7 linked regions of the Neurospora crassa OR74A genome follow. The protein of the gene in region 2 interacts with the protein of the main gene of each other region in a pairwise test. Links are inferred from orthologs where the notes say so. Each region holds a gene or a part of one and is shown on either strand. Other genes may lie near its edges.

Region 1 (4,091 bases), on a different chromosome or scaffold from region 2:
ACACACCCAACCCAACCCAACCCAAACATATATGGATCATCGATCCAAATTAACGACGCTGTGTCTTGCCGACGGTACGCTTGCCGGAGAACTATAGAAAACATGTGTGGTTAGTTTAGGAATGAAAAGAGAAAAGAGAAAAGGGGGATTGAAGGAAGGGGAAAAGAAAAGAAAAAAGACGTACCAAATGCTTGGGCATGGTAGCACCAATATGCCTGTCGGCCTCGCCGGCTCTGGCCATCCTGTTCATCTTGCGCTGGCCGAGCTTGGCCACCCTCTCGGCCTTGGAGCGGGCTGTCTCCCCGTCCATGCCCACACCACCAGTAACACCGTCGTCGCGCCTGTTTGTCGCGCCCTGGCCACGCTGGGCCGGACGGCTCTGAGAGCGAAGACGCTCGGCGGCGCTCTTGGGCGTGTCCACCTCCATGGCGTCGGGGTCCTCGGTGGCGTTGCGGCTGCGGGCCAGCGAGCGGCCGCGAGTGGGCTCGCGCACCTGGGCACGGCCGCGCAGGTTGATCTCCTCGGTGTCGACGCCGAGCTGGTCGATGTGGTCCTCGAGCTGGGCGAACGACTTCTTCTGCATTTTCCGGGGGATTATGGCGCGGTTCTTGAGCGACTTCTTCATCTTGGCCTCGTTGCGGATCAGCTTGTGCTTCTCGCGGATGTACTCGGCCTTTTGCAGGATCTCCTCCTCCGACTCGTCGCCGAGGTCCGAGTCCGACTTGTAGAAGCCCTCCTTCTCGAGACGCTCCTCTTCCTCTTCGAGAGCGGCCAGCTTGGCCTCGATATCGGGGTCGATGAAGTCGTAGACGTTCTTGCCGTCGACAATCTGTTCGTCAAAGCGTGACATGTTAGTAACCGGGTTTAATTTGGGGGAGACGGAATGCGAGAGATACTGACCTCGGGAATCTTGTCGTACTTCCACTCGGGGTTGGCCAAGATCCAGTTCTCCCTGAGATCGACGTTGAAGACACCAGCACCACCGTTCTGCTCCTCGATATCCCTGGCGAGAAGTTTCCTCTCGGGGTCGGCCTTGTCGTACTTCTTGAGACCCTTGACGGCCTCGGGAATGAAGGTCTCGCGGAGAACACCATCGGCGGGCTGGGCGACGTGAATACGGGACATGACCTCGGTGAGACGGGAGCCCATGGTGCCGTTGCTGCTGGTACCGGCCTTGTACTTCTGGTTGACACGCTCAACGAGGAGAGCCTCGCAAACGGTGTTCTTGACTTCCTGGACACCGTCCTGAGTAGCGCAAGAGGCGCGCAAAAGCTGAATGTTGCCGGACTTGGTAAGGTCCATGAGATCGGCCTGGGATTCGGGGTCGAGGTCCTCAACGGTCTTGATATCCATCTTGTTCAGGACAACGTAGACCATCTTGTTCTCGAAAAGGGGCTTGATGGACCTAAACAAGTTGCACTGGGCCTTGAGCGAGTAACCGCACTGCTCCGAGATATCGATGAAGAACATGACGGCGGCTCTGAGATGGGCAAGGGCAGTAACTGACTGCATTTCGATGGTGTTCATCTCTTCGAGAGGGTGGTCGAGAATACCAGGGGTATCGATGACCTGGTAACGGAGGTACTTGTAGTCGAGGTGGCCGACGAACAAGCTCTTGGTGGTGAAAGCATAGGGCTCGACAGGGGTATCAGCGCGGGTGACGGAGCGCACGAACGAAGACTTGCCGACGTTGGGGAAGCCGGCAACGAGGAGGGTACGGGTGGTAGGGTTGATATCGGGCAATCTGGCCAAATGCTGGCGGACCTGGTCGAGGTAGGCGAGAGGGTCTTTCAGACGCTTGATGAGGGTGGCCATACGACCGAGGGCGGCTCTCTTCAACTGCTTGCACTGGTACAAACTTTGCGAGTACTTGAGGAGACGGACGTAATCACGAGAGATGGTCTCGATCAAGTGCTTGGCGGTCGAGACCTGACCAAGGGCAACCTTGAAGTGGTCGGCATCTATCCATCACCTTGTCAGCCACTATTCCCAACAAGACCAGGCGCGGTTCACAACCCGCTGTTGCTGAAACCGCCTGTCGCAGGGAAGCGCGGGATTCGTACCGTAGAGAATGTTCATCAAATCGCGGTGGAAAGGATGCTGGTCGGCGAGGATGGGGAAGCTCGAGACGATGGCGCCGAACTTTTCGCTGCATGTTTCCTGTGTGAACTTGACCTTACGGGTGTAGAAGGCTCTAATTCTGCTGACTGTTCGGTGTCGCGTGTCAATGATCTATTCGAATTCTCATACAAAGTATCGGATATCGAGACGACATACTCTTGAAACCAGCACGAACTATTCAAAGTAAAGGTTAGCGATCATGCCATGCTTCACGTAATTTTCCACATTGTACAACATACTCTGAGTCGGCAAGCGACGCTGTGTCCTCCTGTTGAACAGTTAATATCCTTCACCACCGTGGCCAAGCCATTGGACTCGAACTCGAAGACTTCGCATCGTCGTGGTTGGGGGCTGCCGATGTCGACTTACGAGAGGATGATGTCGATGAATTCCTGTGCCCTGTAGAAGCGAGTTAGCGATGCCAAACAACAACACAACAACCAAGATGTCCTTACGTAGGCACAGGGGCAATGTCCTTCCACGTCATTTCGGGTATAGATGTCAAGCACTTGCTGGTGAGAAGATCTCGGACTGGAAGTGCAGGACAATGAGGTCGGACGGACGGTCTGAAGGATAGAGACCGGCTGCGGGGGGAGGGGGCGGTGTTGGAGGGCGACGGGGAGGCGCTGCGCTGCCAAATGGAAAGTCTACTTCGAAATATTTTTCCAGCGGCTGCTCCAATCGATAAGATAACAGCAGAGTGCCAAAGTGGATTGAACCTAGAGGTAGTGTGCGCTGCCAAGACATGCTGCCAAGGGGTGCTTAAGGATTCGGCTAGTGTGGAATTTAGGATTTTCTAACCCCACATTTTTTCAGGGACCCCACCGCGCCCAAGTGGCCGATGACCGGGCTTTCGCGGGCCTGGCTCCTGGAACTAGGTGGCCCACTCGTAACCCACCATCTGATTGACTCGGTTGAAAGACTGCCGCGTGTGACGCCGCCAGGAACTGAACCCTTCCTTCGGCCCCTCCCTCCATTTTCTCAATTTTCCCCAGGTTCCTCCAGCTATTCAGTTGCCAGGCAGACAGACGTCAACGCTGTTCTTCTGAAATCTCTTCTTCTTCTTTCAGCTTCAATTCCAATCCTACAAACACTACGTACCAGCACAATGGCCGCTCTCTCGCCTTACAAGGCTGACTTCCTCAAGGCCTCCATCGACGGCGGCGTCCTCAAGTTCGGCAGCTTCGAGCTCAAGTCCAAGCGCATTTCCCCCTACTTCTTCAACGCCGGCGACTTCTACCGTGCCGACCTTCTCCAGGCCATCTCCACTGCCTACGCCAAGTGCATTATCGAGGCTCACAAGAGCGGCCAATTGGACTTTGACATTGTTTTCGGCCCCGCCTACAAGGGCATTCCCCTCGCTACTGCTGCCACCGACAAGCTTGCCCAGCTTGACCCCGAGACCTACGGCAAGATCTGCTACTCTTTCGACCGCAAGGAGGCCAAGGACCATGGCGAGGGAGGCAACATTGTTGGCGCCCCTCTGAAGGGCAAGAGGATCCTCATCGTTGACGATGTCATCACTGCTGGCACTGCTAAGCGTGAGGCTATCGCCAAGATCGAGAAGGAGGGCGGCATTGTCGCTGGCATCGTCGTTGCTCTTGATCGCATGGAGAAGCTCCCTGCCGCTGATGGTGACGATAGCAAGCCCGGCCCCAGTGCTATGGGCGAGCTCCGCAAGGAGTACGGCATTCCCATCTTTGCCATCCTTACTCTGGACGACATCATTGAGGGCATGAGGGGTCTTGCCTCCCCTGAGGACGTCGAGAAGACGGAGGAATACCGCGCCAAGTACAAGGCTACCGACTAAACGCTGGAGTTGGATTCTCTGATAAACTAGTAACATGTATATCACAGGTTTGTTCGCCCAGTACCCTCTGACCATAGCCACAACATCAAACCTGTGGCTGACACTCTACAAGAAGAAGAAGATGAAGAAAGAAAAGAAGAAGAAGAAGGATAGGGATTGT
Region 2 (3,098 bases):
GCTGACAAATTACTAGATCGCTGTTGAGGAGGCCATTCCCTACCAAGAGATCAAGCAGAACCCCTACACGGTACTTTGCCTCACGTCTCTCGGCGGACATCTTTCATGGTTCGAACTTGGTGGCGGACGATGGCATACTCGTCCTGTAAGTTTCTTTTTGCCTCACTTTCCGGTAACTTTTTGCTGATTTGTTGTCTAGATCTGCAACTTCCTGAACAAGATGGCTTTCGATATTGACTTGGACGCCATCAAGCCGGATGCTTGTGACAAGTTCGATAGCCAGTTCAGAACTCACTTCGACCCTGTGCAGCGAAAGTTGCAGATTCTCGATGTGGATCAATAGATGGTGGTGGAATGAACACTTGAAAAGAACGAAGACTGTACATAGATTAGCTATAGAGATGGGTCCATCGATTGGGCCTAAAGGGTCTAGACGCGCTTCAAGGCACATTGGGGCTGCACATAGACTTAGATTCGCGCTTTCGACTTGGATACAGGTTCGAACGTACGTTCATTGATGGCTTATGCGAGCCACGAACTACACCATCCTGACGGTTTCACCTAATAACATCTACCGACTCATGAGAAAAAGAGGCTGGACCAAGGCTGGCGTGCCCAATTGGTATCTTTAATTTCCACACACAAAATCAGTCAGAACTGTTCCCCCAGCCAAGCCATCCTACCCGCCGCCAGACTTTGATTGATATAAACGCCCAGACGCCATACATGCGAAGAAAAAATGCTTGGTGTAGGTATTACACGACAAACTTCCACCCTTCCTGTCTTCATTCTCCCAGCCCATTCCCAGGAGGGACCTTCAAAGCTCCCAGCATCCTTGCTTGATTATTTATTCGGGAGCAGCGAAGGATACCGACTTCTTCTTTTTCGACTTAACGGCTTTCGTGCCCGCAGACGAGAACTCCTTGACATCTCTGGAGTCATCGTCGTCGTCGCCCTTGCTACCGCCCGATTGCTTGCTGCGCTTACGCTTCTTGCGCAGCGAGTCCTTAGTCTCTTCGAGTCTGGCCTTGCGCTCAGCCTCCTTCTTCTCGGCTTCAGCGCGTCTCGCCTCGCGGATCTCCTCCATTTGTCGCGCCTTGATCATCTTGGACTCGATCTGGCCCTCCTTTTCTGCTTGTACGATGGCTAGGATAGTGGCCATGCTCTCCTGTACAAAGGGGGAAAACATGTCAGTTACTTGATGCTTTCCGGTCTTGAAACCTAGCAAGAAAACAAAAAACCAATATGACCCCAGACGCTAACGAAAGACAGCTTACCTTGTCATCCACAAACACCTTGCCCTTCTTCTTTCCCTTTGGCTTGGTCACACCAACGGGGGTGATCATGTTGAGTTCCGGAATCGCAAGCTCCTTTTCGCTGTAGGTCTTCTTCTTCTTCTTCCTGGCGATAAGCTCCTGGATGTTCGGTCGGCCCTTGCTGGCAGTCACGAGAGTGTGAGCTTTGCCCTTCGGCTTTCCCTTGGACTTGAGCACTCCATCGTTCCTCGACCTCTCCGCATCTTTGCTGCCCTTGATGCCGGATTTGTTCGCAGCGTGCTTGTTCTTTATCGTTTTTGTCGGCGCCATTGTGAGTTGTGGTTGATTCGTTGATAAGGTCGTAAGAAATCAACGATAGATGAAATGGTGGTTCGGGATATGGATGGGTGGATGGAGTACGAATACTCTCGAATGTATCCTGTACGCTGTCGCTTCAGTTCGGTCGACTTCTGGGGAAAATTTTGGGACCGGAATTGGTCCCTGCCTTATCTTATCGCGGTTAATCCAAGGTACCTCTAGAGCTTGTGCATATAGCACTGTATCAACGCCTGCTGAGCGCGGTTACGGGGCAGTGGGGTCTGTCAGCTCGCCGTGGGGCTGCCTTGAAATCTCTAATTGGCAGCTGGGGATCGGCAGGCGAGCAGGAAACTCTAGTTTCCTTCTAGTGTAAGCGCGGGGTTGGCAGCACTAGTGGAGGTACCTATTCCATATCGATTGCCTATCGGTGCGTTCCCTCACTGGTGGCACTCCGAAATCGCCAAAATTTCCAAGATCACCTTTATTGTCGCCATCCTTACATCGCAATTGATCACACTGCCGTGGTGATATCCCAAGAGTCTACAGTCCCCAGAAGTCTCAGACGCCCTATTCAGACAAAATGAGCACCGAACAGCCCGCGCCCCGCTGGGCCGCCTTTGCACGCGACACCAACGAGACCAAGATCCAGATCGCACTCAACCTTGATGGCGGCGCATTCCCTCCCGAGACCGACGCCCGCTTGAACGTCAGTATCGCCGACGGCCATGCCACTCAGGCTAGCAAATCGCAAACTATCAGCGTCAATACCGGCATTGGTTTCCTTGACCACATGCTCCATGCGCTTGCCAAGCATGCCGGCTGGAGTCTTGCGCTTGCTTGCAAGGGCGACCTTCACAGTTAGTAGACACACTTGGCTTGGGCGCAGAAGTCCTCGTGGAACAACATCCAGAACTCTGAATTGACTTTGTCCCTCTCATAGTCGACGACCACCATACCGCCGAAGACGTCTGCATCGCTCTTGGTTACGCCTTTGCCAAGGCTCTCGGCACACCCACCGGCCTCGCGCGCTTCGGATCCGCATACTGCCCTCTCGACGAGGCCCTCAGCCGTGCCGTCGTCGATCTGTCGAACCGTCCCTTTGCCGTTGTCGACCTCGGTCTTAAGCGCGAGAAGATTGGCGATCTCAGCACCGAGATGATCCCCCACTGTATCCATAGCTTTGCCGGGGCTGCCCGCATTACCGTGCACGTCGACTGCCTCCGCGGCGACAACGACCACCACAGAGCTGAGAGCGCATTCAAGGCGCTTGCGGTTGCCACGAGGCAGGCTACTAGCCGGGTGGCGGGTCGCGAGGGTGAAGTTCCTAGCACCAAGGGAACGCTCAGCGTATAAGGAAGTGGGAAGGGAGTTAGTTATAGGTTTGGATATAGAAGTGCAATGATACCATGTGATGTCGTTTACCGTGGTACTTTGCGCGCATGTTCGGCTGCCATCATTTCGCTATAGCGACGGCGTAGAGTTGAAGTGAAGAATGGAAAACCAGATACATGTTGCGAATTGGCG
Region 3 (3,950 bases), on a different chromosome or scaffold from region 2:
TTAACCCCTTCCAAGCTTCCCTTGTGGAACGGAACACGGGTTGCTCCGATCATGATAAAATCGTGTAGCATCACCTAGAATTATGTCGGCTTCCAGGCGCCGTGTTAGTGCTTTGATTGCGAATAAAGTAGAGTCCGACCACCCAGCACTAACAGCACCTCATTTCACAGCTGGAATTTAACGCCTACACCGGAGAGCGCCTCGGTATCAGACAAGCAAGAAAGGGAAGCTATGCGTCTCACATCACCAATTCAAGTCACCGGACAAAAAAAGAGAAAAGACTCGGTGAGCTGATAATCACTTTTTAACTCCCTGAAGATGCTGCCTCGCTGAAGAAGAAGGGGGACCTCCAGCCCCTACCTCCTCCCTTCGCCACCACTACTAAAAGCTAGCTAAGTATAAAAGAACAAAAGACAAGGCTTGCCCAGCCTCGTACCATGTTAACCGCTTGTCGTGATCTGGTCCAGTTGTGATATGTACGTGTGATATAATCTCTTTTTCCATTCCGACCGTGCAAAGAAAAAAGAAACGAAAAACCATGAGGAAAAAAAACAAACGCCAAAAACACCACCTGTTACCCCCTTCCAGCAAGAAATATGTACGTAGCGACAAGGCAGAAGAATGGGAAAAGGATATGCCAGCCTCCCGAGCATCTGCCGCTATGCAGCAGCAGTGGTATCAACATCTCTCTCCAAAAAGACAAAACACCCCTTGCTGAACACCTTATCCGACGCTTATTTCTTCTTACCACCGAATCCGCCCTCGAATCCAGGCCTGCTCTTACCCTTGGAAGCACCTTTTCCTCCACCCTTACCGCCCTTGCCGCTCTTGACCTTGATGCCCATCTTGCGGGCCTTCTTCTCGTCCTGCTTCTTCTTGATGTTCTCCTCGCGCTTCTTTGACCTATCGTACTGGGCCTTGGCGACGCCCTCCTTGCGCTCTCTCCACTCATTGGCGCTCTTGCTCTTTGCCTTCTCCTTGCGCTTGACAGCCTTCTTGAGCAGGTGCTCGTCGTCGTGAACCTTCTCGCCCTCGGCACGCTTGCGAGCAGCGAGCCACGTCTCCTTCTCAAGGACTTCCTTGCGCTTATCTTCAGGCAAGGCCTCGAGGCGCTTCTTCTGCGCCTCAAGCTTGGCAAGCTTGGACTTGGCGTCCGTGGGGCCCTTCTTCTTGGTTCCGTCGGACTTGACAAAGGCGGCGTCACGAGAAAGCTGAACACCATCAGAGAAGGCGAGACGTCCGAAAGCAAAGTTGGTTTCAACATCGTCCTTGGGGCTGAGCATGCTTAGGGGAGAGTTGCGCGAGCTGGCAATAGCCTCTGACCGCTTCCGATCCTCCTCCTCCTTCTGCTTCTGTCTCTGCTCGCGCTTGTGGGCCTTGCGCTTGGCCTCCTTCTCGCGGCGCATCTCGATGAGTTCCTGCCTAGTGCGAATGGGCTTACCCTCGTCGTCCTTCTCAACCTTGCGAGCGGCACGGAGTTGCTCAATCTTGGCGGCGAGACGCTCGCGGAGAACCGTGGTATCGGCGGGAAGCTTGAACTTGGGCTTATCCGATGGGGGAACGGCGGAAGAGATCGAGGTGTTGGCGCTGGCAGGCTCGGCGGAACCGGCCTTGTCGCGACTGTCGAAAACAGAAGATTGAGCGGATTCCTGGGACTCGCCCTCATCCTCCTTTGTTACGAGACCAGACACATCAATGGGAGCCATATCGTCGTTCTCGTCGTCCTCGTTAGCTTCGGTAGAAGGCTTGGCTTCTTCGGCGGTGTCGTCCTTCTTTTCCGTCTTTCCACCCTTGCCTAGTTTCGCCTCGAGCTTGGCCTTCTTCTTCTCCTGCTTGGCCAGCTTTGCGAGACGCTTGGCCTCCTTTTCTTGCTCCTTCTTGCTCAAGGGCTTCTCAGCGGGGACGGCCTCCTCCTCCACCACCTCCTCCTCCTCCTCGGAAAGCTTCTGCTTTTTAGGCGCAGACTCTTCTGTCTCGGCGTCGTCTTTGACGACCCTCTTCTTCAGTCCTTCAAGAGGCTTCTCCTTCTCAACACCAGGGATTTCGACGTCGATGTCGCTGTCTTCAGTGCTGCTCTCCTCCATTTCCTGGAGCTTGCGCTTGTTGCGGGCGCGCTCCTCCATGACCTCCTTGGCGTTGCGGTTGAGTTCACTGTCGGGATCGAGCTTCCCCCGCTTAGCAGCTTTTGCCTGCTCCTTGGTTTGCTTCTTCTTCTTCCACTGATCCTGTTGGCGGGGTTACTTGGGATCAGCGACGCGATCGAAGGCATTTTGACACCAACATCAATGGTTGAGTTTATGATGAAGAGCTAAGTCAACGGGTGGGGGTAACGTACACTATTGTCCTCGCCGTAGTACATCTTGGCTGGGATCAGCGACAGTAGACCGTCAAAGGCCTGAGCGTGAGAACGCAGGCGCTCCTGTTCGCAATCGCAAGACGGCATGGTCAGCGTCGAACTCTAGCCATCCCAGTTTGGCCACAACTACCAGCCCATGGGTATCACCGTATCGGTGGTGTGCATTCCAGCGCCGGTCTGCTTACCTGCAAATCGGTATCCGCCATCTTTGCACACGCTGGTTTTCGCTTGTACGAGTCGACCTGGTTGATTGCCAGTCGCTAAAATAGAGAGACCTAGGTGATTGAGGCGACAAAGAAAGTCGAATCCGGGATTTCGCTGTGATGGGGTTGTGAGTGATGTCGAGCGGGCGGAATAATGGTCGAGGTAGTATGTCGAGGTATCGAAACGAAACCCAGATGGAAAAATTGAGACAGTGGAGGGCGGGTCGGCTGTGGTCGAGCGACTGTTTCCCGTCTCGATGAATTTTTGTTCGCCAGTGGATTACAGTGAAATTTTAGTGGATTGTTCCCAGCAGTGTGGAGCCCCCCAGCACCTTGCCCCACACTTTCACGCTTGGGGTTCTGGCATTCTGCCAAAGGCGGTGAACTGCCCTGGCACCTACTCATCGATCTTATCGCGGTTAGAGGGATACTTGCCTATTCTAGCACGCTCCCGTCTACCTCGTGTATAGTATACCTATAGGATTTATGTTTGGATCTGATGGTGACATGTCTCCTGACAGTGTCTTGACAGGTGCAACAGTGTTCCTTCATCATGGTTACCATTGTTTGTTTATTTCCTACTAAAGTGATATAGCTACCTTCTGGACAAAGGCCATCAATGAATGGCCCATCAGGGCAATGTTATCGCATAACAGGCAATAGAAGTTCTCCTCATTTACTTCAGCCTGCTCTTTCCATGATTGCCTTCTTTGCCTGATAATACTCCTGACCCATGATCTTTCCTCGTTTCCTTACAACAGACCATAGTACAATTCAAGCCCACCCATTTTCCAGGCGGGGTTTCTTCCTTACCGATACGCCGAGAGCTATGCACACCACATATCTGGCTTCTCCTAATACACTCCAGAGAGCACGAGTTGGGGGCTCACGAATACAGGTACTGCGCCAAGTTAAGTCGCGGACGAGTGGCTGCCGTGCCCAATTCGGTTTCTCCATCACTCTCAGGAATAATCTGATCCTCGCTCCCCTGAAGCGACATGTTCAGGGCTCTAACTTCAGCAAAGTCGGCCAACGGCAACGGAATGGCGGCGGGATCCACCTGGACGGAGCCGAGAGCCTCGCTCGGCTTGCTTGATTTACGTGCGCGGAGGCTGCTAGGAGGCGTGGCGCGGGGTGTAACTTGCTTCAATGCCCGGGCTCCCATGCGTTGCAACGGAGTCAACATGGGCGAGCTTGGATTCAACGATGATCTACGCACCGCAGCAGATCTCTCTTGGGTTGAGGAAGGTGTAGGCAGACCATTGACAAGGCGAGCACCGGGTTTACCTGGTTGATACGAGAATTGCCGGAGCCGAGGGCCCAGCGGCGTCTGGGATTTCACACTTTTCTTGGTGATGGCCTCTTGCGATGATGAGCCAGGAACTTCCACT
Region 4 (3,987 bases), on a different chromosome or scaffold from region 2:
TATCAAAAGCACACTAGACTTAGCTTGAAGCTCAATTACATTTAGAAACTCAACAACAACAACAGAATCGTGCTCCTCACATTTACTTTCTCCTGCCCTTGCCCTTACCACCCTTACCAGCATTGCCGCCCTTCTTCTTAGGCCCAGCAGACCGTCCCACCTTCTTGACGACCTTCTTGAGGTTCAGCACCGCGCCCTTACCGGCTCTCTCGGCGCTGCCCTTCTTGTATGTCCTCTCCTGCTTGCGCTCTTGCATGGTGTCGAGCTTCTTCCTGTCCTTGTTGCTCAACTTGCCCTCGTTCTTGGACTTGAGCTTGTCCCTGACGCCGTTGAGCTCGGCCCGGCCCGCCGCCTTGGCCTTCTTCTTGTCCTCCTGCGTCTCGAACCACGTGCGCTTGGGCCTCGAGCTGATCTCGTCCTCGTACTTGATCATGTTCTCGCCCTTCTTGACCTGCATCTCCATGTTCTGCAGCTGCTTTTCCTCCTTCTCTTCCTGCATAATCTCCTCAATCTCATCTTCCAACTCGTCGATCTCGGCCTGCCACTTGTCGGCGTCCGCGGGATCGATGATGCGACTGCTGATCTTGGCGCCCTGAGACTTGCCGGCCTTGACGGCAGCCTTGACGACCTTGCGATCGGGCTCAGCAGCCAGGGTAATAGCGGTACCGCTGCGGCCCGCACGCGCTGTACGACCGACACGATGGACGTAGATCTCGGGGGTCTGGGGAGCCTCGTAGTTGATGACGGTGTCGACACCCTTGATATCAAGACCACGTGAGGCGAGATCGGTGGCAAGGAGGAAGTTGACCTTTCCATCTCTGAAGTCCTCGACACTTTGAATACGCTATGGATCCTGTTAGTATCACTCATCCATCTGGAGCATCGTAAATCGTAAACATACCTGAGCCTGGTTCATGCTACCGTGCAACTCGGCGCACGACAATCCAAACAGACCAAAGATGATCCTCATCTTGTGCGCAATCTTCTTTTGTCTGAAGAAGATAATGACACGCTCCGTGTAGATAGTCTTGCAGATGTGCAACAGATATCCTTCCCTCTTCGATTCGCGACCGGGTCTGAGACGGACAAACTCTTGAACAAGCGTACCGGCAGTCTTCTTCTGCGAATCGGCCATGATGCGCACAGGCTTGTTGAGACCGGCGCGAATGAGCCTGTCGACAGACGACGTCATGGTGGCAGAGAACAGCATGGTCTGGCGGGACTTGGGAAGGGTGGTAAGAATCTCGTTCAACTCGTCCGCGAAACCGTCCTCGAGCATGCGATCGGCTTCATCGAGGACGAGAATCTCGATGGTGTCGACGGCGAAGCTGGCAGAGTTGCGCATGTGATCGATGAAACGACCAGGAGTGGCAATGACCACATCCGGGCGAAGACGGAGCTCGGCCTCTTGCACCTTCAGACTGAGACCACCGACAGCCAGACAGAACTTGATGTCGGTATGGCTGGCGAGCTTGACAGCGACAGCGTGACACTGGATAGCCAACTCACGGGTGGGCGTAAGAATAACGACGCGGGTGGTGGGAACCTTCTTGGGACGGTAGAGGAGACGCTCAAGGATGGGAACGACGAAGGCGGCCGTCTTACCGGAACCGGTGACGGCACCACCGACGACATCCTTACCCATAAGCGAAATGGGGATGGTCTTGGCCTGAATGGGCGTCGGCTTGGTGAAGCCCACGGAAGTAAGACCGCGAAGGATAGGACGGGAGAGAGACATCTCCTGGAACGAAGACATCTCGCCCTTCTTCTTAGGCTGATTCTCCTCCTCCGGCGCAAAGAACTCCTTCATCTTGGCCTCCTCCTCCTCATCAATACCCTCTTCATCATCCGATGACTGCACATCATCAGGATGCTCAACGGCCGTAGCAACCGAGTCATCATCCGACGCATCGCCCTCGTCTTCATCCTCTCCCTTCTTCTCCCCATCTTCACCCTCACTATCCTCATCCTCCCCATCAACACCCCCCATCTTCGCATCCTGCTTCTCCTCCTCCTCTTCCACGTCCGACCCAACACCCATACCAAAAGCATCGTCAGCCAAGACACCATCCTCATCATCATCCAAATCCACATCAATCTCTTCTATGTCGTCTTCTTCCTCATCAACCTCCATCTTATCCTCCTCCTCTTTTGTCGCCGTGGTTTTCCCCTCCTTAGCAGCCTTCCTCTCTCTCCTCCTTCTGATAATCTCATCGATATCCACAGCCTTCTTGTCCCCGCCCGCGTTGGCGCCCTTCACAACACCCTTGTGCGCGCCCTCGAAACCCCAGCCGTCGAACTCGGCGTCCACTTCGTTCTGGCCGTCGACAACGAACTGGAACTCGGTATCCATGGCGCCGTCGTCTTCGTCGTTGTCGCCCCAGATGCCGAGGTCGGCGGCGTCGTCTTCTTTTGTTTCGGCTTCGTCGTCGTCATCTTCAGTCTGTTGCTGTTTCTTGGACTTCTTGTTGTTCTTCTTCTTTTGCTTGTTCGATTGTTGTGTGGCCGTCTTGGCCTTCTTCCTGGGTACAACTTCTTGCTCCTCTTCTAGTGGGATGTCTTCTTCATTGTCGGAAATGGTGAGGATGAAATCGTCGTCGATCGCTTTGCGCTTTTGGGAGGGCGCCATTGTGGTGGATGGTGTTGCAACGGTCTGTGACCGTTGTTTGTTCTGTAGTGTTGTGTTGGAAAAGAGAACGACGGGAAGCTCCCGATGCTGAGTGGGAATTGGTGGAATCGTCAAGATTGTACAACTGATAGCAGTCAGTGGGGTCTTTTTTCGTCTCTTCCTCCGCCGCAGAACGAAAGGGAAAACAAAAATTTGGGAACCATGCCCGTCTGTAACTTTTTCTGCCGGGCGGTCAATGTGATTGGAGGATCTGGGGATCTTATCAGTGGCAGCTGGTCGACAGCTGCGGGGATGGGTACGTACCATCTCAACTATCAAGTGAGTACCTGCCGTCTTCGGGAGCAACTCGTTCAACACCACATTGTCCCAAGAAATTGAATACGCGTTCATGTTATAGAGCCAGAGGACCTTGTCCTTACTACAGTAGGACTATATTTATACTTGTGCGGGGCATATGGTCCAGCTATTCTCAACGCAGATGTATCAGCCCGTATTATATGATGATACTACACAGGAGTCATCTACCCCGTCGATACCCAAAATGAACGCCAGACACCTTGCCAATGGTATAATGCTAATCCTCAAACCTTCGCCTCCAAAACATCAGTTGCCCACAACGTAACTTTCTTCACATGGACCGCCACATTATCACTCGTGCTACCGTGTGGAGAAGCTCGCCGACGCTCCAAGGAAGTCCTGGTCATGCCCCTGGTCCTGCTGGTAAGTCTCCTTCTGCTTCTGCTTCTTCTTCATTTCAGCGCGGATTCGTTCTTTCTGCGCCTTCAAATGCGCCATTTCAACATCATCCAGCAAGAATTTCTGCTCATCGATATCCCTTCCACGTCCGGACGCGGATGCTTGCGGGTAGAGAGGGTCTCGTTGATATCCGTCACCTGGCAATTCGTGCTCAACAATATCCCACGTAGCATGATAGTAGCCATCTTTGGTTGGTGGCAGCTCAGCATGCGCCCTTGGCTCCTCCAGCTTACGGATCGCGCCGCTTTCCATTGCAGCGTACTCCTCTGTCGATGCGTATGGTGGTAAAGGACCGTTATTACTGGCGCTCGGGAGATCAATGTCCTCCCATGGATGTCTCCTTTCCATCAGAGATGCGGGTTCGCCTTGTAATTCAACTCCTCTAGGTGGTCTTTCAATCATAGACTCGTCGGGAGGCACTGTAGGCGAAGTCACAGCTGGAGTGGGCGTTACTCGGTTGGGTCCATATGAGACGATTAATGGGGGCTGTGGCCGTTGGGTTTGTGAGGTTGTTGGGTTTGGTCGTGGGAGCGTAGTAGGAACTGAAGGAAGAGGAAGATGTGGTGTTGAAGTTGGAGCTTCGGTTGGAGGAGGGGTGGTGT
Region 5 (3,750 bases), on a different chromosome or scaffold from region 2:
AGCCGTACCCACGGAGGACGCCAAGAAGTTTGCCGGTACGTTGCGCGTCACAGCCATGATGACATGGTCGCTTGGGAAAGCCGTATCGCCAGGATGACTGACAGAGAGAACTGCAGAGGAAAACCACCTATCCTTTATCGAGACTTCGGCTCTCGACGCCACAAACGTCGAGCTTGCGTTCCAAAACATTTTGACTGGTAACGTTTGCCCAAAGCCTACAGCTGCTGCTCTGGCGCGAGCCTACCGCTAACATGCGATCATTTATCTAGAAATCTACAAGATCGTGTCGACCAAGAACTTCGACAACGGCCCCAGCGGGTCCAACGAGGGCCACCAAAACCTGTCTGGCCAGAGCATCTCGCTCAGTCAGACCGCGAACGACCCCCAGGCGAAGTCTGGCTGCTGTTAGGAGGTGCTTGATTCTCCGGGCCGGGAACCGAGTGGCCCTGAAGGGTTGAGGTGCAGGGTGCAGCAGAGTACAACAGGGTGCCGAACCAACAACGGCGTCACATATGTCTGACATGAAGCAATGGAGGCTTATGATGAGCAATGAAGAGCAGCATCGGGGGAAAAGTACGGACGGATCCTGCCCAGTCTTATTACATCACGGTCGCCGATGGGATGGTCTGTTTTTCTTTTTCTCTCTATTTTTTTGGGCTTTTGGGGAGGGGGGAAAGGATCATGATGCTCGTCTTCCAGCCTTTCCTTTTTGTTGTTATTACTACTACTACCCCTTTCTTCCCTTTTCCCCCCGTGCTGGTCGTTGGAATTTTCCTCAATGTGGTTAACGAAGCCATCACTTGCGCATGGATTACGAAAGATATTATTTAGTTGAAATGAACTATGGGCGATAAACAGCCCTTAACTCAACCTGGTACATATTGCTCCACGTTGTCAAGGTCTCCATCTATTGCATCCACAATGTGGGAGAAGAGGAGTACCTCGAGAGTGAGTACCTATGTAGCGATAATCGTGCAGGATCTCGTTATGACATTCAAGTTGATTATGTGCGACAGCGGGAAACAGTCAATACAAATTAAGACATCTGGGCTTGCCTGATGGATTATGGCGACTGTCCCTCATTACTCCCATCGCGTCACCCGAGGCGGTTGAAGTGGGTTTGAGTGCGGACAAGAGGCCAGTCCCGTCCCATCCCCCACTGTAGGGCAGACAAGAAGAACGCGTGGAACTTGGACAGTGTGTGTAGGCAATGGAATCCCCAGAACTTGGGGGTCCGGATTCCAGGTTGGGTCCATCAGTGGGACAAATGCGGGTTGCCCAGACCGCCGACCGCCTTTCAGCTGTTCCAAGCAGGGGGGCCGGAACAGGGACGCTAGTAAGATAAGAGAAGCTTATCGGAGTGGGGCTGCGATTGGCCGGCGAACTTTTTTTGAGATGGAACAGCCTGCACTCCATCACTGCGCTTCGCCCGCGACGTTCGTGGATTGGAGCATTGAATTCACCTTTGCAATCCGCATTCCGTTTTTCTGCCATCACTTCCACCACAACCACCACCAACTTCAGTCACCCTTGTTTTTCGCCCGATTTTGATACCCAAAGAACGACAAGAACAAAAAGAAAATGGCCGCCGTTTACAAGTCGCTCTCGAAGAGCGCCAAGAAGGTCGAGGACACGGAGAACGACAACAACACCACCACCACCAATGGCGGCTTTCGGAAGAACAAGCAGAGAGTTCTGATTCTCTCGTCCAGAGGCGTTACCTACAGGTACATATAGACCCTGCATACCTGCAAGATGGAAGAAGAAAGGGTCAATTGCTAACCGCCTTTGCGCCCCGAGTACAGACACAGACATCTCCTCAACGATCTCGCAGCGATGCTCCCCCACGGCCGCAAAGACGTCAAGTTCGATTCCAAGTCCAAGCTGTACCAACTGAACGAGCTTGCCGAGCTCTACAACTGCAACAACGTCATGTTCTTCGAGGCGCGCAAGGGCAAGGATCTGTACATGTGGTTTAGCAAGGTTCCTAACGGCCCTACGGTCAAGTTCCACGCCCAAAACTGTGAGCACTATCCATATCCGAGATACGCATTGTGAAAGAGGAAAAATCGGGTTCTAACAAAAAGCACAGTGCACACCATGGAAGAGCTTCACTTCACGGGTAACTGCCTCAAGGGCTCGAGGCCACTCCTCTCCTTCGACCTCGCCTTCGAGCAAGAGCCGCACTACCGCGTCATCAAGGAGGTGTTTCTGCAAATGTTTGGCGTCCCCCAGGGCGCGCGCAAGTCAAAACCGTTTATCGACCACGTCATGAGCTTCAGCATTGCCGACGGCAAGATCTGGGTACGCAACTACGAGATCCGAGAAGTGGAGAAGGCCAAGGGCGAGAAGGACAGCGAAGGAAACGACATTGTCCCCGAGAGCGACAAGTCATCATCGAAAAAGAGAAAGGGCGCGCCCAACGCGGAGCTCAAGGACACAGACGTCAGTCTGGTTGAGATCGGACCTCGGTTCGTCCTAACGCCCATCATCATACAGGAGGGCGCGTTCGGCGGCCCCATTATTTACGAGAACAAGCGCTTTATCTCCCCCAACCAGGTGCGCTCGGAGCTGCGCAAGGCCAAGGCGACCAGGCACAACACCAGGGTGGAGCAGGTCAAGGAGAGGCTCGGCAAGCTCGAGACCCTCACGGCCCAGGCGAAGAAGGAGAAGGATGTCTTGGATACCCGGGAGCTCTTTGCTTAGAGAAAGGAGGAGGAGGGGAAAGAGAGAGAGAGAGCTTTTCACAACACGATTTCATCACGTCTGTTCGCTTGCGACACATCAAAGCAACGCACGCCTTAGGTTTAGGGGTAATCAAGGAGTTTTTTGTACTTTTGCTGGCTGGCTGGTTTGGTCTGGTTCGGGAAAAAGAAAGGAAATCGATTTGCATTGTACAACATTACAGTATTCGTGGGGATGTGTGAGACGGACGAGCTGTCCTCTTTTGACAGTTGGGAAAGAGGATCATGATCGAGTGGTAGATGAGCACTCAGCGTATAAGGTGCTGGCTCGAAAACGGACACATCAGATCAAGATTGAGTGATGAACGCCGTCCTGGCTCCGGTCTTGGTCGTGTTGAAAGGAGATGGTCAAAGAAGGGTAGGAGAGCAAGTACTTTGCTCGGCACCTCACTAGCGGTTGACTGTCTATAACCACACTCCTGAGGGAGATGTTGTTCGCATAGGACCTAGACTCTACCTTAAATGCAGTTGCGCTGTGAGATATTGTCTCACATTTTTGCTCCATGATTTGGGTTGTTTCCATATATATAAGAGACACGAGGTGTCTCTTTCGTTGAGTTGTTGGGATGATATCACCACCTTCAGTACACTCCTCAAGGAGAAGAAGAAGAAAAAGTACCATGTTTTGTCCCAAGGTAGCTTTGGGCGACATCGTCCCAAATTTCAGATTTTCTGACGGACTAGCCATCTTCTCAGGGGCTTTGGGTCGTCTAAGTCATGTAGTGTGCCTGGGAGTTGGCGCGAGTTTGGTGCTTCTTGAAAACAAGAGATAAGGACTGGAGCCGATACCTAGGACGTCGCTCCTTAAAGCGAAAGACAAATGGCTTGAGTCTAATGTTGAACACGTATGGCTAACGCTTTTGATCAAAATTTAGAAGCAAAAAAAACGACTCGGAGTACTTTGGTCATGACTCAGGTTCACTCATCGATATCGGAGGAGAGAGTTGAGGATAGGTTGTAGAGGGTTCACTTCACTCATTGTGAAAGTTCGCTACAGGGGACCTGT
Region 6 (3,717 bases), about 180 kb from region 2:
TGCTTCATGGTGGACTCTGCACAATGGGAGCACCCACTGACAACATCCGGAGCGGTGAGGATCTTTCCTTGATGGGAATGGAAAAAACCTTTGTCAACCGGGGATATACATCCGCACACATCACACACACCATCCTTTCACATAAACGACTTTCGCTTCTTTTTGTTGGGGATAACTTCACACGGGACTACTTTTCGTCCACACGGAGCTTTCCCTCTTCAATTTTCGACACTCAGGCAACTCACCTTATCTTTCTGGACCCTTTCTCTCTTTTGTCGTTGATTCGACACCAAACACCCTTTGCGGACTGAGGACATCGCCGGCGGGAAACGATGCAGCAACTTCTCTTTGGTTCACACTCTTCGGCAAACGTCACCTGGGAGTCGGCGGACTCACACCTTCCAACCTCAACCTCTTCCATCTGCTGGGAGGGAGCTATTTCGCGACATGCTTCTCTCTTTTGTTGGGTGGGACTTGCACGGGCTTGGGTATGGCGCTTGGTTCACCACTCCTTTTTCTTTGCGCACTTTCTTGGAATTTTCTTGGATAGGACTGTAGAGGAGGGAAGTCTTCCTTTCTGTCTTGGCAGGGAGGGGGGACTCGCGGGATGAAATTTGTGGAGGGGGAGGACCATGTGGGGAGTTTTCACTGTATCTTTCTGATCTTGGTTTGCGGAGGGGAGGGATTGTGGGGGTGAGTTGGCTTGGTTGAAGGATTTGAAGAGTGTTAGTTCTTTTAATAAAAAAAAAACCCCGGTTGACACCATATCTTTGGATGCTCTCATGACCGTGACTACCTCTATGATTGTGAATTTCATTATCATCGTATGCCTCTTCGTAAGACTTTTCAGAGCAACTGACTTTAGTGATAAAGCTGTCAACTTGCAAATGGAACGCTTGATCGATCATCAAGGCAAGATACGCGGAGGAATGGCCTCGGCTCCGAGAAAATATACTACATCCCATTACATGTATCAGCTCGACGTCCCAGACATATTTCTGATCTGTTTCGGCCAGGTTAGGTTCGTGATGTTTGCGCGGGACAAGGCTCCTCCACTGAACGCGAAGTTTGATGTATCAGGAGACTCGTGTTGAATCACCTTGACACAGGCTGCGGGTAGCTTACGAGAAACTGGGCAGAGATACACAGGGCATGGTGATATACACTAGCAATCAATCTTGAGATCACCGAGAAAACGCAGTTCGGTGGGTGACCATCACCGTGACTACAGGCCCATTGTAACTCGTAACCTGAGGGTTGGGGTTTGATGTGCCAGATTCAGAGAGAGTGTGAAGGGCACTTCCAGGAGCTGGGCTGTGGATACCTCTATGCCGGGCGCCAAGCATCCACATTTGGGTCCGCCTCCGACCCACCAGGCTTATCTTATCGGGTAATGGCAGCCGCCATGTCAAAAAAAAGTTTCCAGAACTGCAAGCGCTGCCGCTTCTCGAGCTCATCATCCAAATCGATTGTACAGCAACCCCACATAATCACAATGCCGCGACAGTCCACCCGCACAAAAAAGCCGGCCACCAAGGCTCTTGAGGCTGAGAAGATCGAGAAGATTGTTGAAGAGAAGCCCCAGAAGGAGCAGAAGAAGCGTGGCAGAAAGCCCAAGCAGGTCGTCGAAGAAACCCCTGTAGAGGACAAGATGGATGTCGAGGAGGAGCAGAAGGCGGAAGAAACCACCACTCAGACCAAGGCCGACGAGAAACCAGAGCAACAGGAAGAGGCCGGTTCAGATTCTGAGGAGGGTAGTGACGACGAAGAGGACAACGATCTCGATCTTGATGCACTTGACGAATCCGATTCCGACTCAGAATTCGAGCGCGACCTGAACGAGAAGCAATCCGCCGCCGGCATCCAGGCAAACAAGTACCAGAAGGCCGCCGAGGAATCGAGCGACGAGGAGGAGGACGAGGATGAGATCGACATTGATGAGCTCGACGTCGACGGAGAAGAAGGAGAGGAAGTCAAGGCCATTTCGAGGGCGCGCCAGACAATAAACAACAAGCAAGGTCTCCTGACGGCGCTCAAGCGCTTCGCCCTCGACACAACCGACAAAGTCCCATTCGCCTTCCACCAGTCCATCGTTGCCAAGAAGGTGACGGAGGAGTCCATCCCCTCGATCGACGACGACCTGGCCCGCGAGCTGGCCTTCATGAACCAGGCGCTCGAGGCCGCCCGCGTCGGCCGCGCCCTCCTCCGCAAGGAGGGTGTCCCCTTCACCCGCCCTACCGACTACTTTGCCGAGACGCTGCGCAGCGACGAGACTATGGAGAAGGTCAAGGCCAAGCTTATCGAGGAGGCCACGGCCAAGAAGGCCTCGGCCGAGGCGCGCAAGCAGCGCGACCTCAAGAAGTTCGGCAAGCAGGTGCAGGTGGCCAAGCAACAGGAGCGTGCCAAGCAGAAGCGTGACACACTCGAAAAGATCAATCTTCTCAAGAAGAGTACGTGCCTCTCCTACCCTTCTCCTTCCCCTTCCCTTCTTAATTCCATAACAAGTTCTCTTCCTCTTCCTTCCCCTCCCCAACTTGATGATAACTGAAGCCAACTAACCTCCGCCTCCTTAAATAGAGCGCAAGGACGGCGGTGGCCCCACCGGCGCCAACGAAGCCGAAGACCTCTTTGACGTTGCCGTCGACAACGAGCTCAAGGGCGGCCCTGGCGGCAACAACAGCAAAAAGCGCGGCCGCGACGGCAAGGAGGGCGGCGGGCCCAACGCCAAGAGGCAACGGAAGGATGCCAAGTTTGGCTTCGGCGGCAAGAAGAAGTACGCCAAATCCAACGACGCCCTCTCGTCGGGCGACGTGAGCGGGTTCAGTGCGAGGAAGATGAAATCGGGCGGCCCAGCAGGCGGCAAGCCCAAGAAGTTCAAGCCTGCGCCTAGGCCTGGTAAGGCTAGGAGAAAGGCGGGGGCTGGAAAGAGGTGAAGTGAGTAAGCTTCACTGTGGCAGGAGCGAGAAGAAGCAGTGGAAGTGAAGAGCGGTGTCGATGCCATGATGGGTAATCTGTTTAGTTTCCAACCTAGTACAACAAAAGGTCAGCACGGCAGGTTGGTGACAAAGGTGGTAGTAGCGTGTATGAGTATACATCATCATGGGACCGGTCATACAACAAACATCATTGAAGGATTCAGATCAATTCAGTAGCCACTACCTTTACTTAGATACCTAAAGAGTTCTTTTCATGCCTTACAGTTTGATGGTGTTACCCGCTTGGCTCAAAGGTCCTTTTCTCATATCATTCATCTTGCAGAATGGCTATATCCGTTCACCCGAACAAACGGGTTCCTTACTTTCACCTTCATTCAAAGGCCCCCGATGTCGGCTCGTGAACAAAAACAAATCTCGGTCACTACAGTTTGTGAGAGTATCATCCTGTCACGGACGAGCCGCGCAAGGGCCATCGCTACTTTAAGACTAGGTACTTCAGATACACTAATACACGAGACATCCCCCTTTCACTCCTCGAACCCGCATGGTAAGGGGTTTGATGCGCAACACCATCGTAACGCCTGCTTGCTGCTATTCATCGAGACGAGCCTAAACCCAAACCCAGATTCAGACCCAAATAGACCTGGGAAGACCCATAACCACCAACGCCAGACATAGACCCGCCTTTCCTGAAGCTACAAGCAAATAGAAGAAAGAAACAACAACACAAAGAGCGGCTCATCCAATTCAACCCCACCGCTGTGTGGGATTAGGACGAAAA
Region 7 (3,449 bases), about 900 kb from region 2:
TTGACAACGATAACGATTATCAATCCTCCGTCGGCGGCGGCAGCAGGTACGCGCCGCCTAGTGTGCATGATGGGGACTACGAGGATGAGCCATCGGCAAGGTTTCCCACTGCGCCCTACGGCCGAGTAGGAATCGAACGGGGGAATGTGTAAGAATGGGATTAAAAAAAACAGAAGGGTCGAGAATTCAAGTCAAGGGATATGGATGAGCTGGACTGATCGACTTTGGATCTGGAAGCGGATGCAATACCGGGTAGCTATACGCTGCAGCATGCTTAGGTCATGTACAAAGTGTCTTGGCTACCTGCTTTCTTTTTTTTTGTTATTGGGGGCTGGCTGGCACTAGACGAAACATTTTGGGCTTTTTCTTGTGTATGTATGTGTGTAGGCTTTGTTTTATGGGGTGTCGTTGGCGAGGCGTCACAGGTCCTTGTTGGTTTATCATGCATAGAAACGAGAGAGATATCTTCGTGCATCAACAATGAATCACAAAGCTCTCATATCGGCTTCATGGAATGCTTTGTATCTGTGTCATTCTTATTAAACTCTCCCATATTTGTGGAGATCTACGTAGAACATGATTCTAGGTGACAAACAAGATATGATACGATATATGTGGATGGCTCAATGGCCCTAATTCTTTTCATGTACTTTGAGAAACGCCTAAAACGCCCGTGGCCTTAATGAATAGTATGTATGCTGCACAAGAAATCCTGGTTCCCGTCCCATCATCCGTTTTGCTTTTGCTCATTACCGTTGAGCAAGGGAGCGCGAGCCGAAGTAGCTCCGTCACCTGTTTCTTTGCCAGTTCCCCATTCCACGAGAGGGTCGCCCCCTGAAGCGAAGTATGATGAGGCGACAGCGGGGAGAGTCTAACTGGCATTATACCAGTCTGAGAGAGAAAGAGAGACAAAGAGAGAAAGACAAAATCCGTTGCTCTCTTCTTTCGAGACCTGTCGAGCAGAGCCATCTCGGCTGAAGGATCAGCCGTGTTGGGTCGCTCTTTCTCCCTCCCGCCGACTCTCGTAGCCCAGCTTACAGGACGAGACTGGACATGGGTCCGGGCATTTGTCGCCAGGCTCCCTCATCTCTACCCTTATCTTCAGACCACAAACCGAGCTCACCGGTGATCCCAAGAACATCCCCTTGCAAGAAGCAGTCACATTCCAGTGATGATGAAGTTCACATCACACTCGCGCATGCAATTTGCCCCCTTCTTCCCCTCCCTCGTTTCTTCGTCCGCTTCTTTACTGCAACAAGCCAGCCTTCCTCAACCGCTTGGTAATGTCGCCCTTGGTCTGCTGCATCGGGTTTAACTTGATGTCGCGCACCATGGCAGCTACATCGTCGCCGTGCTTAGCCACTAGTCGCTGCAGCCATTCTAGCTCGCGCTCGCTCTGGTAGCGCACCGTCTTCTCCACAGGGCGCGACGCCTCCTCCTCGAGCATCCGGACCACCTCGGGCCGGCTGCTCTGGGCAATCATCTCCTGGCGGTCGTCGCTGATGCCGTGCCATTCGATATCATGGGTTGGGTTCTTGGGCTTGGGTTCCTCGGATTCGGAGTCGGACTCGATCTCGTTGAGCGGGTCGTTGAGCGGGTTGTCCGAGCGCAGGACCTTGACGATCTTGCCCGAGGCGTCACGCTCGACCTTGACCTCGCGGACCTCGAACAGGCCGCGATCGGCCGACTTGACGGCCAAAGGATCATCCTTGGTGATGCCGGCGTAGTTGGCGGCGGCGGACTTCTTGGCCATGCCGCCGGCGGCGGTGCCGAGCTTGGCGACGAGACCGAAGCGGGAGTAGTTTTGTGAGAGGGTCTCCTTCTTGTTCCTGTAGTACATCAATTTTTGCATGTCAGTACTGAATCTCCTCTCGAATATCTGGCAACAAAAAGAAGAGAAAGGTACTTACCAGGCCTTGGCAACGATGCCGCTGCCCTGGGGGTTCAAGACCTTCTTCTTGATGGTATGCGTCTGGACCTTGGCGCGAGACGAGCGCTTCTTGCGCTTCTGAAGTTCTCTGCCCATTGTTGCTGTGGTTTTCGGGAAGTAGGTACTATGTGGTGTTGCTGAAAGGACAGGAGTTCGACTGCCAAAAGATGCTGGGAAGAAGAAGGCGAAATGGGAGTAAACCAGCAAAGAACGATGACGGCGACAACAACAACGAAGGCGGAAGTTGACCAAAATTTCGGGGGAAACCACCCCAGAGAACTCGATTGAACTGGAACTGCAATGGCTCCTGTCCGATAAGAGAATTATAGTGGGGCTGTTGTCCCTTATCGACCTTACAGGTTGTTCGTTACTTGGCAAGCTTGGGTACGTTCCCTCAGTCCAGTCGCCAGCTGGCAAGAGGGCCGTAATAAAGATACAGTCCCTACTGCGTAAGTGTGTACCTAGGTAGTGTAAGTGGTGTATTGTATGTAAGCACGTACATAAATACCGCTTCCTCAGGTTCCGTTTCTAATCCTCTTGTATCTTGCTTGCCTTTATTGCCGTCACCAGTTCGTTCATCAACAATCCTTCTCCCAAGGGTGATGATGGCAACTTACCTAACGACTATTTCCTCGGAATTGGACCCTAACTTTCACGGCCATCATAGCCGCGGCTTCTTGTTCTGCTCGCAACTGGTGAGGCGCCAGCGGCCGCGCCAGTCACCACCTCACCATTGTCACCATGATCATTACCCATTGGAGATATGAACAGACTTGTAATCATTGCTAAATAACTAGCTACGCACTTTGCAAGTTTTCCGGTAGGGCAACTTGATTCCCGTCTCATCCCATCCCCAAAACACCCTCCATGGCCCCCGCCACTATCCATTCGACGCAGGCACGCGGGTCATGCCTGAAATTTCATTTCTTTTTTATTCAAATCCAACCCGCCTTCAAATGTCAGCCTTGTACTTCCAAAGACATTCGGTAGTATGCGACCTAACTGTTGACATGTTCATTTCAAGTGCCTCGGTCATCATCACCCTGCTACATGCCGGCCAATGCCCATCAGAGCCCGGAAGAACACTGCGCAGAATGGGAAGCCGTTCGACATACATAGGTGTACTGTAGTGGCCAGCCAATTGTCTTTCATGGTGTTCTAGACGTTTGCCTATACAAGTACCTAGACAGCGACCGAGGTCTTGCTTTTTCTTCCCCAACTCCTCTCTCTTCAAACGCCCAGCCCATAGTTCGCAGCAGAACTCAACATCTTACCCACCTCCCCCTCCTTCTTCAACCCCATCCAACCTCAATGCAACATGGAGATATTCAGAACTTGATGAGGGGGGCCATGCTTGGGATAGTCACCTTCCTGTTAAGTCTAGGCGTAGACTTCGTTAGCCATGAGGTTTAGTCGAAATGAGGGGGTAGTTGGATACATGTCGAGCGGGATGTGGGGAGTGGTAGCGGCGAGGAGGTATACCTCTCAGTACTTATGTACGTACTACTTGGACACACGA

The links.
Region 1: the proteins of NCU01301 (region 2) and NCU05289 interact in binary tests that used the Saccharomyces cerevisiae proteins (3 or more experiments, as listed by UniProt). The link is inferred for Neurospora crassa OR74A from reciprocal best matches to the Saccharomyces cerevisiae genes LOC1 and NOG1.
Region 3: the proteins of NCU01301 (region 2) and NCU06090 interact in binary tests that used the Saccharomyces cerevisiae proteins (3 or more experiments, as listed by UniProt). The link is inferred for Neurospora crassa OR74A from reciprocal best matches to the Saccharomyces cerevisiae genes LOC1 and RRP14.
Region 4: the proteins of NCU01301 (region 2) and NCU11175 interact in binary tests that used the Saccharomyces cerevisiae proteins (3 or more experiments, as listed by UniProt). The link is inferred for Neurospora crassa OR74A from reciprocal best matches to the Saccharomyces cerevisiae genes LOC1 and DRS1.
Region 5: the proteins of NCU01301 (region 2) and NCU01524 interact in binary tests that used the Saccharomyces cerevisiae proteins (3 or more experiments, as listed by UniProt). The link is inferred for Neurospora crassa OR74A from reciprocal best matches to the Saccharomyces cerevisiae genes LOC1 and BRX1.
Region 6: the proteins of NCU01301 (region 2) and NCU01257 interact in binary tests that used the Saccharomyces cerevisiae proteins (3 or more experiments, as listed by UniProt). The link is inferred for Neurospora crassa OR74A from reciprocal best matches to the Saccharomyces cerevisiae genes LOC1 and EBP2.
Region 7: the proteins of NCU01301 (region 2) and NCU09528 interact in binary tests that used the Saccharomyces cerevisiae proteins (3 or more experiments, as listed by UniProt). The link is inferred for Neurospora crassa OR74A from reciprocal best matches to the Saccharomyces cerevisiae genes LOC1 and NOP16.

The regions. Positions count from the first base shown.
Region 1 is NC_026504.1:5,445,564-5,449,654, reverse strand, and holds the start of NCU05289 (nucleolar GTP-binding protein 1), read right to left. Parts: upstream 2,801-4,091; 5' UTR 2,609-2,800; coding exon 2,577-2,608; intron 2,521-2,576; coding exon 2,491-2,520; intron 2,390-2,490; coding exon 2,361-2,389; intron 2,296-2,360; coding exon 2,278-2,295; intron 2,208-2,277; coding exon 2,064-2,207; intron 1,962-2,063; coding exon 901-1,961; intron 830-900; coding exon 185-829; intron 92-184; coding exon 50-91; 3' UTR 1-49. Other genes in the region: NCU05290 (orotate phosphoribosyltransferase), read left to right, coding at 3,230-3,931. UniProt on the Saccharomyces cerevisiae protein: Involved in the biogenesis of the 60S ribosomal subunit.
Region 2 is NC_026505.1:3,571,684-3,574,781, reverse strand, and holds NCU01301 (60S ribosomal subunit assembly/export protein loc-1), read right to left. Parts: upstream 1,716-3,098; 5' UTR 1,587-1,715; coding exon 1,278-1,586; intron 1,169-1,277; coding exon 848-1,168; 3' UTR 501-847; downstream 1-500. Other genes in the region: NCU01302 (hydrolase), read left to right, coding at 17-145, 200-343; NCU01300 (imidazoleglycerol-phosphate dehydratase), read left to right, coding at 2,155-2,431, 2,515-2,927. UniProt on the Saccharomyces cerevisiae protein: Required for efficient assembly and nuclear export of the 60S ribosomal subunit. Involved in asymmetric localization of ASH1 mRNA.
Region 3 is NC_026507.1:1,847,947-1,851,896, forward strand, and holds NCU06090 (hypothetical protein), read right to left. Parts: upstream 2,801-3,950; 5' UTR 2,563-2,800; coding exon 2,542-2,562; intron 2,420-2,541; coding exon 2,336-2,419; intron 2,226-2,335; coding exon 735-2,225; 3' UTR 282-734; downstream 1-281. Other genes in the region: NCU06089 (exonuclease), read right to left, coding at 3,446-3,950. UniProt on the Saccharomyces cerevisiae protein: Involved in ribosome biogenesis and cell polarity. Required for the synthesis of both 40S and 60S ribosomal subunits and may also play some direct role in correct positioning of the mitotic spindle during mitosis.
Region 4 is NC_026503.1:3,110,186-3,114,172, reverse strand, and holds the start of NCU11175 (ATP-dependent RNA helicase drs-1), read right to left. Parts: upstream 2,801-3,987; 5' UTR 2,630-2,800; coding exon 902-2,629; intron 845-901; coding exon 83-844; 3' UTR 1-82. Other genes in the region: NCU00234 (hypothetical protein), read right to left, coding at 3,287-3,987. UniProt on the Saccharomyces cerevisiae protein: ATP-binding RNA helicase involved in ribosome assembly.
Region 5 is NC_026502.1:3,192,924-3,196,673, reverse strand, and holds NCU01524 (ribosome biogenesis protein BRX1), read left to right. Parts: upstream 1-1,430; 5' UTR 1,431-1,581; coding exon 1,582-1,727; intron 1,728-1,805; coding exon 1,806-2,023; intron 2,024-2,092; coding exon 2,093-2,706; 3' UTR 2,707-3,250; downstream 3,251-3,750. Other genes in the region: NCU01523 (GTP-binding protein ypt3), read left to right, coding at 1-35, 117-197, 270-409. UniProt on the Saccharomyces cerevisiae protein: Required for biogenesis of the 60S ribosomal subunit.
Region 6 is NC_026505.1:3,393,320-3,397,036, reverse strand, and holds NCU01257 (hypothetical protein), read left to right. Parts: upstream 1-1,439; 5' UTR 1,440-1,495; coding exon 1,496-2,450; intron 2,451-2,577; coding exon 2,578-2,933; 3' UTR 2,934-3,217; downstream 3,218-3,717. UniProt on the Saccharomyces cerevisiae protein: Required for the processing of the 27S pre-rRNA. Probably involved in the step of the processing of the 27 SA precursor into the 27 SB intermediate.
Region 7 is NC_026505.1:4,474,525-4,477,973, forward strand, and holds NCU09528 (nucleolar protein 16), read right to left. Parts: upstream 2,196-3,449; 5' UTR 2,027-2,195; coding exon 1,911-2,026; intron 1,830-1,910; coding exon 1,247-1,829; 3' UTR 501-1,246; downstream 1-500. Other genes in the region: NCU09527 (hypothetical protein), read left to right, coding at 1-152. UniProt on the Saccharomyces cerevisiae protein: Involved in the biogenesis of the 60S ribosomal subunit.